2 linked regions of the Neodiprion lecontei genome follow. The protein of the gene in region 1 interacts with the protein of each later gene in a pairwise test. Links are inferred from orthologs where the notes say so. Each region holds a gene or a part of one and is shown in the gene's direction. Other genes may lie near its edges.

Region 1 (3,757 bases):
GGCAACTCGAGGCCAATCAACCAGAATCGAATGAAACTAATTTCTAAGGGTTTTAAAATTCAGGGATTTTAAATGCATACAACGACGCGTGTGCAATTGTCTTTTAATGAAACTGTACAAGAAAATATTCTCGAAAAGCGATCGTAAGAACATCGAATAATGACCGAATCGAATCTTTCCTGCTCTTCTCGTTTTCTTTCATTCTTTGCAATCCTCGGTATCTGTTCACAGTTCACAATTATCGTATCTCAAAATGCTCAGTAACCGAACGAAATCTAAAATTACATCAACTCGCAGGGTGAAAAACAAACGTCATCAGACCTCCGAAATCTCTATCTCGGTGACCATTCAACCTCTCGATTATATTCCGACCTTAAAACCCGAGTCAACGAACTCTGACGAATCTCACACGTTACAGAAACGAAAGGCAATCGTCGATAAAAGTAGAGGATAAAAAAAAAGAAGTAAAAGAAAAATAATAATCAATCGTCAACAAAGCGAAATCAGTCGCCAGACACGAAGGAAACATGCATACAATACGACTCGAAAAATTTCCAACGCTTTCCGAAATGGAACGATGACGTCATTTTTATCCAGTCAACACCCCCACCCCACCCCGCCCCGTTGCGCAGTGACGGTGTTAAAGTTGGTGAAATCAAAGGTGAACTTGTTCTTCGGCCAATCGTCAACGAACAATTGCTTGAGGGGTATTCGAGACTGGAGGATTTATATCGCAGCTTACGACGCACGAATGAAAGACTCGCCAGAGGATTGAACGGATCAAGAGGGGGCTTCGGAAGTGTGATAAGAGGATCCGTTTTCGTCCGCGTTTCCCGAGGGTGATTTTCAATTTTCGATTGCGGCGGGGGTCGGGGGTGGGGGGGGGGCGAAAAGGGACGGCGGGGAACCGGGAACGTGGAACCGGGAACCCGGGAGGGAACCGGCGCGCCGCTTTGCTCGAAGCAAGTGTTGTGCCCACCGCGGCTCCGCCTGCCGCCTGCCTGCCTTCCTTCCTCTACTACAATTCTGCCTCTGGCTCTCGGCTCTCCGGCTTGGCCAGTGAGCCAGACGGCCTGTTCGCCAGCTCAGTCTATCGGGCGGCCTCGCGCGCGCTGGCATACTAATAAATTGCTTATACACAAAAGCCGATTTTCACGCCTCTAATCGGGAGAGCTCGATCCGCGGCCTGCGCCTCGCGATTTCCGCTCCCCCGAATCTCCACCCCTCGCCCTGCCCTACCGCCAACACCCCCAGGGAAGAAAGCGAAAAATCGTGTACTGGGAGAGAGAATGAGAGAGAGAGAGAGAGAGAGACTGAAAAATTGTAGAAAAAGAAAGAAGAACGTTTAATCGTCGATCCGCGGTTTAATCGAGAAAAAAAATAATAAATAAATAAATATTGTACCAATTTTTTTTTTTTTTTTTTGCACCGCATTTCGCACGAAAATTCAGTTACCTCGAATATTTAATTATCGTTTTTTACCTTCTGTTTCGAGTCACTGTTTATCGGAACAGACGAAAAATATCCACTAACAAGGATCGTTCGACGTTCCCGCCCTCACTGAGCTAACTCTCTTTGCACCCGTAGGGATTTGGATTAAACGGTGACTGGGAGAGAGAAGAGAGGGAGAGAGAGAGAGAGAGAGAGAGAGAGAGAGAGAGAGAGAGAGAGAGAGAAAAAGAGAGAGAGGCGCGGACACCCCCCACCACGAATATCATCTTCCCTCTCCGTGCCCCCTTCCAAACTGAAGGCGGGGGTTCACTCCCGCGCATCGAAACGACACGCGGGGTTCGCCTAAGACTCGGAGAACACGGTGGACTCCGACGTATCACGGTGCAGACTGAAAAGAGCGGCTCTACTTGCGGACTTCTGACTGCGGATATCGTAATCGACGCTCGTACCTGCAGCGAGATAACGCCGAGATATCAAAGAGGGAAGAGGAGGAGGAGGAGGAGGAGGACAGGAAAGGAAGGACAAGCGATTCGAATTTGTTTGAAACTTTTTTTTCATCTCTGACGCTGTTTTTTTTTTTTTTTTTTTTGGTTTCTTTCTCTCTCGTTCGTTCATCTGTTTTTCAATCGCAAAAGAGAGAGAAGAAAAAAAAAAAACAAACAAACAAAAACAAGCCCGAGACGAAACGAGACGAAGAATAATTATTGTAAAGTACGAGTCTGCGGAGCGGAAGGAAGGGATAACGGAAGAAGGAAGAGGATGTAAAATCGTTTGTCAATTTGTTCGAACGTCTTGCGCAGTTTTGTTCTTGTTCGTTTATTTATTTAATTTTCAACCGAACTACGATACTGTATTGTCCGTATGAGAATGATGCCGAAAGGCAACGTCGCATGCGGCGAGATTTGCGGAGAGGGGGGAAGGGGGGTGTTTGTTTTTCTCTCGGATTTCTTCAATCTACTTTACGTATAACTGGTCCCGTGCGTGCGATTGCCAAAAATTTCACACGAGAGTATAACTGTGTGTTTCGAGAACGCCGAGGAAAAAATACATTCGCAATTTAAAAAAAGAATAAAACATAATAAATAATTAAAGAGGAGAAGAAAAAAAAAAAAAAAATACGTGAAACGAACGAAAAGAAAAGGTGCTGGAACGAGAAATCTTAATCATGGTATTAGTGCGACTATTTTATACACGTACGTTACATACATACCGCAGTGACATTAACTCTCATTAACGCCCGTAAATATATTGCGTATACGCTCATAAAAGGTTATCTTCGTTCGTTCGCGGTAAAAGGAAAAGAGAAAAAAAAAAAACAAACAAAAACAAAACAAAAAAAAAAACGGCAAGATAAATAAAATAAAAGAAATAAGAAAACGACTCGCAAAGATTAAAGTTTTATCATTACCAACGGCAACTGATGCAGCGAAACGAATCTCGCAACGAGGATCGTTATACTCTGTGAGATTAATCGACTTTCATGCACCGTGCAAAGTGAATTGAAAAACGTGGTGCGTAAAAATCTTTGACACTGAGAGAAAATGAGTTAAACTGGTTCGAGTAAAAATTTGACGTACCGATCGTGAGTCGAGTTTGAACATTAAACAGCGCGCCATCGGGATTCTAGATTTGGCGGGAAAATTTAAACCACGTAAAATAATTGGTACATCGATACGTCACGCTGCTCGTGAGATTACGCTGGGTTCGATAGAATTTCGACGGGGAGAATAAACCGCTTGATCGGTATGACGGGAATGCAGAATGCGCGTTTTGTTGATAAGTTTGTACGTCGCGACGGGATTGTAATAAACCGGAGAGTGTGAATTATCGCGAGTGTGTAACATCCGCGGAGATTCCGTTCGGTGTCTAAAAATACCCGTTATATACAGTATAACGCACATGCATACATGTATGCGTATGTGTGCGTAAATAAGAGTATGCGCGTTTCATGAGAGAGGAGAGAAACGAGTGGCGTAAGAAAAGGAAAAGGTGAAAGAGAAAGAAGGAGAATATAAGAAATAAAAAAAAAAAAAAAAAAAACGGAGGTACAGTGGAAATAAGGCGTATAAAAATACGTGAATCGTAAAAGAAGCAAGAAACCGGGTATACGTGGTGGAGATAAAAATAACAGAAGAGAAAATAACGTAAAGAAGAACGCGAGGAGGCATCAGAGAAAGGTGGAGGAGGAGAGGGAAAAAGAGGAAGAGGCATTGAAGGAAAAGGAAAGGAAAAACCGCCTCAAGAAATGTTCGGCGTGCCGCGAATACCGCCTTATTACATACCGCACCGATGGTTAACCGAGTAT
Region 2 (3,757 bases), on another chromosome or scaffold:
CCTCACAAACAAAAGCTTCCGAGTTACCGAAAATGTGAGAATCAAAAAAAAATTTATTTTCCCAATATGTACTTTCTCCTTATTTTCAGGAATCTTGCAATGCAATTAGAGAAACTAATAAATATGTTCTATTGCTAATTCGTTTATCAGAAACAACGACATATTCAAATTCTTGATCAATTAAGGGGGTATAACTGTGGAGATTTTGTGATGCGTAAGATATCAAAGTCCAAAAGTTTATATAAATTTATGTAAATGAGAAATATTTCTTTTGAATGATACTTGTAAAAAATTTTAATGATATAAAGTAACGGTATTTTCAAGATCATACATGCTGTGTACGTGAGGAACAATTATTAACAATTCCTGCATGATACAAAAAATAACTAGCAGTCTTAGCTGAATTCGAAGAATGTTTGAAGGAATAGAAAAATTCGACAATACTTTCGTCGCGCGACAAAAATTCAACAATGTGAAATTCAAAATTTCTGAACAATATCGCAGAGCAATCACACAAAATGCTCTGTTCCAAGTTCACAATAATCCGGAAAGATCGATCCATTCCAGATTCTATGGCAAAGAATTATACAAATCCTAAGAAATGAAAATATTGCATTATTATTCGGAAATTCTTTTATTCTTTTCAGTTTGATTGTTCCATCTTTCCTGTAGATATACAGTCTGCATTATTCGGAATTCTAAGTTTCGAATAATCGGTTAACTTGAAGGGAAATTTTTTCCGGAAGATATTGCAACAATTCGGTCCCTCGGTCATTATATGATTCACAATGACGTTCCCGCTTCCACATATGAAAAATAATAATCAAACGAAAGTGTATTGAGAGTGTGAAGGAAAGGCACTGCAGGTTCAATCCCAAATAATGAAGCCGGAAGTGACACCGTATGAAATAGTGATCAGGAATCGCTGAATGTTTCACGAATGTATTGTACATCGATTTTGTACTGATAACAATCCATTTATCGGTTCGGGTTTCTTCGGGAATTTTCGGAGCCACCTTCCACTACCACGTCGTATCCGCGACAGTGGCGTCACCGATACTGTGGCGGTATTCGTCGTTTGATCATTGGTCTCCACTCCCCAAGTTTTGCGTTCACTTTTTAACTGGGCAGTTCAGGTACAGCCTTCCAGTGCTTGTATATCGCGAGTTAGTACGAAGTTACCAAATCGAGTGACCGCATCGCGAAGTACGCCGCAGGAAAGCAACTCGTTCATCGTTAAAAATGGTTCTCCAAATTACTAGCTCGGTAAGTCCACTCCCTTTAACAATAAGTCAAAAATCGGAAGAACGCGAGAGAGTGAGAAACAAAATGAATACAAGTGACATGTTGAACGAGAACACTAACCAGATGAACAAGTTTAACCTAAAGATTATTACGCTGGTGAAGAAATAGGCGGGCGGATAACCTTGATAAGAAATAGAGAAGGAAATAATTGCTGCGTGGCGTGTTAGTTGTAGCTGGCAGAGTGACCGATGGACGTATGTCTTATTCCCGAAGTTAACCAAGTCCAGCGTTATAACCGTTATATCTTTAAGACTGTGCCGATTTGTAAAGAATATCACACTCGGTTGAACGCGTTCGTAGAGTGTGCTCTCAGTGCACACAGGTAGAAACTTTAAAGCCTAAGTACGCATTAGTACAGCACGTTTACGCATCCGAATTGTTTATCTGTTGATAATTGACCAACTATCTGAGCGATATCATTTGATAAAATGTCGGCACTCCTCTTCGCACTATTGCCTCATCAGGCTCACATACAACTTCGGCATTTTTGCCGCCTCTTTTCGGCCTCTTTTATCCTTCTCTTCGACTTTCGCTCCTCGACCGCCCGTATCACACTTGCTTTTGCAATATTGATCACACCAGAAATCGCGAGCCAAATAATTACGAATTCGAGAAATGTGATTCTCATTATGCAACACTATGCTCGGACATTCGTTTTTGTCCTTAGAGTACGTAGTTTATGCAGTACACTCTACGCAATCTGCAATTCGTCGGCTTAAGTACATGTAGGTTTATCGACTATGTAGTTCGCAATGCTCGATGCAATGTGCCGGAAATACTTTATTGATAACCGGCAAACAACCGTCGCTGCGATTACGAATGAAAACAGGCGTGATTCTCTAATTAACTGAACTGGATGCGTCGCTGATTTATCATGTTGAAGTTGGTAACGTTATCGTAACGATTTATGCGATTCATGCGAAGGAAAAACCGTCATAAAACAAAACATAATCATACTTCATGACATTGTAAAAATAAGAAAATAGTGATTTTTTCCCTATTGTTTCCTTAGGAACTTCAACCTTGTGATAATCTTGATTTTTAATGAACATAATCTAGCTCTTCGATGATATAACTTGGAATGTAGGTAGATTAGGAGTCATATTCACTTACGTAACAAATGACGATGAAAATAAATTCAAATACTTTCTTTATCACCGCAATGACGAAATCTATGTTAGATATATGTGCAGACGGATTGCAAAAAAGCGGAAAGACGATTGTGTGCGTTAGCTAATTTTCGCCCAGATATATTGTAACTATTTGCTATTTACCGAATTTTCGATATTTCGGTATCGGTATTGACAGAAGGTTCCCATACCGATACATTTCGAGCAAGGAGATGCCAAAAAAAATTCGGTATACCGAAATACCGCGCACCCCTAATTGTAACATGAATTGGCTCACGGATTTGTTTGGTTCTTTACTTTTCTCGTGACCCGGTGATTTGATGCACCTTTTAAGGACGTGCCCTTTAGTCGATTTCGACGTTGTCGTATATATCTCCAAATATCGAAGTCCACGTGTTTCAAACGCGAAAAAGAGCTTAACAGCCCAATTCTATACACCATTCTGAACAAAAACACTCGAATACATTTCACAATACAAATGGCACGGGTTTTACAAAATCGAAGAAATCGTAGAAATCATACCATTCCTTTATTTTTATGTTAAATGAAAATATTTTAGAATGGTTTTATTCAGAACTGTATGTAGAATGGGGCTGTTATGCCCTTTTTCACGTTTGAGATACGTGGACTTGGATAATTTGAGATGTATACGATAATGTCGAAATAGACTAGGGAACTTCCTTAATTAAGGAGATGTAGGAGTTAAGAAACAACGATTGAAGCGATTACAGCGTCACCGTATTCTGTTACACCGATTTTGTATCCATATTCTACATACAGTAAGTATCGAACATCTCTTAATTAATAGCGGGCACATCTTTATAACGGATGTTCTTAAAAAAATTTCCAGCAAAATGTAATAGTAATAGAACGGAAATTCTTCCGAATAGCAGATGTTGTCATCAGCGGACAATACTTTCATCCCCAAATAGGTTTCCGCTATCAGGAAGTTTCACTGTTTAATTCGTGTTTTAAATCATGGTTTAAAAATGTACTCAAAAATAAAAAGACCTATTGAATTTACGGCAACAAATCCTTTCTCCGTGTAGTATACAATGGAAACGTAATAATTACTTGATATTCTCCGCCTGTCTTACGGATCATGTCAATCGGTTATGTTGGGCAAGGAAAGTTGAAATGTATAAATACTTTGTTCACGAAAAATTGCATTTTCTTGACTACGTGGTAATATAATCTGTATCTCATGGAATACAATTCAATACTATTCATATTACGTCAGGTAAGGAGAATGTACTGCGGGGAACTAAATGTTTTCGACACCGCAAGAATGACTTGTTGGAATAGCGTTAATCAAAGTACAG

Evidence for each region.
Region 2: the proteins of follistatin-A (region 1) and thioredoxin-2 interact in binary tests that used the Homo sapiens proteins (3 or more experiments, as listed by UniProt). The link is inferred for Neodiprion lecontei from reciprocal best matches to the Homo sapiens genes FST and TXN.

The regions. Positions count from the first base shown.
Region 1 is NC_060260.1:38,652,743-38,656,499, forward strand, and holds the start of follistatin-A, read left to right. Parts: upstream 1-1,083; 5' UTR 1,084-3,757. UniProt on the Homo sapiens protein: Multifunctional regulatory protein whose primary function is to antagonize members of the transforming growth factor beta (TGF-beta) superfamily including activin, myostatin, GDF11 or bone morphogenetic proteins (BMPs).
Region 2 is NC_060262.1:7,925,255-7,929,011, reverse strand, and holds the start of thioredoxin-2, read left to right. Parts: upstream 1-1,074; 5' UTR 1,075-1,242; coding exon 1,243-1,266; intron 1,267-3,757. UniProt on the Homo sapiens protein: Participates in various redox reactions through the reversible oxidation of its active center dithiol to a disulfide and catalyzes dithiol-disulfide exchange reactions.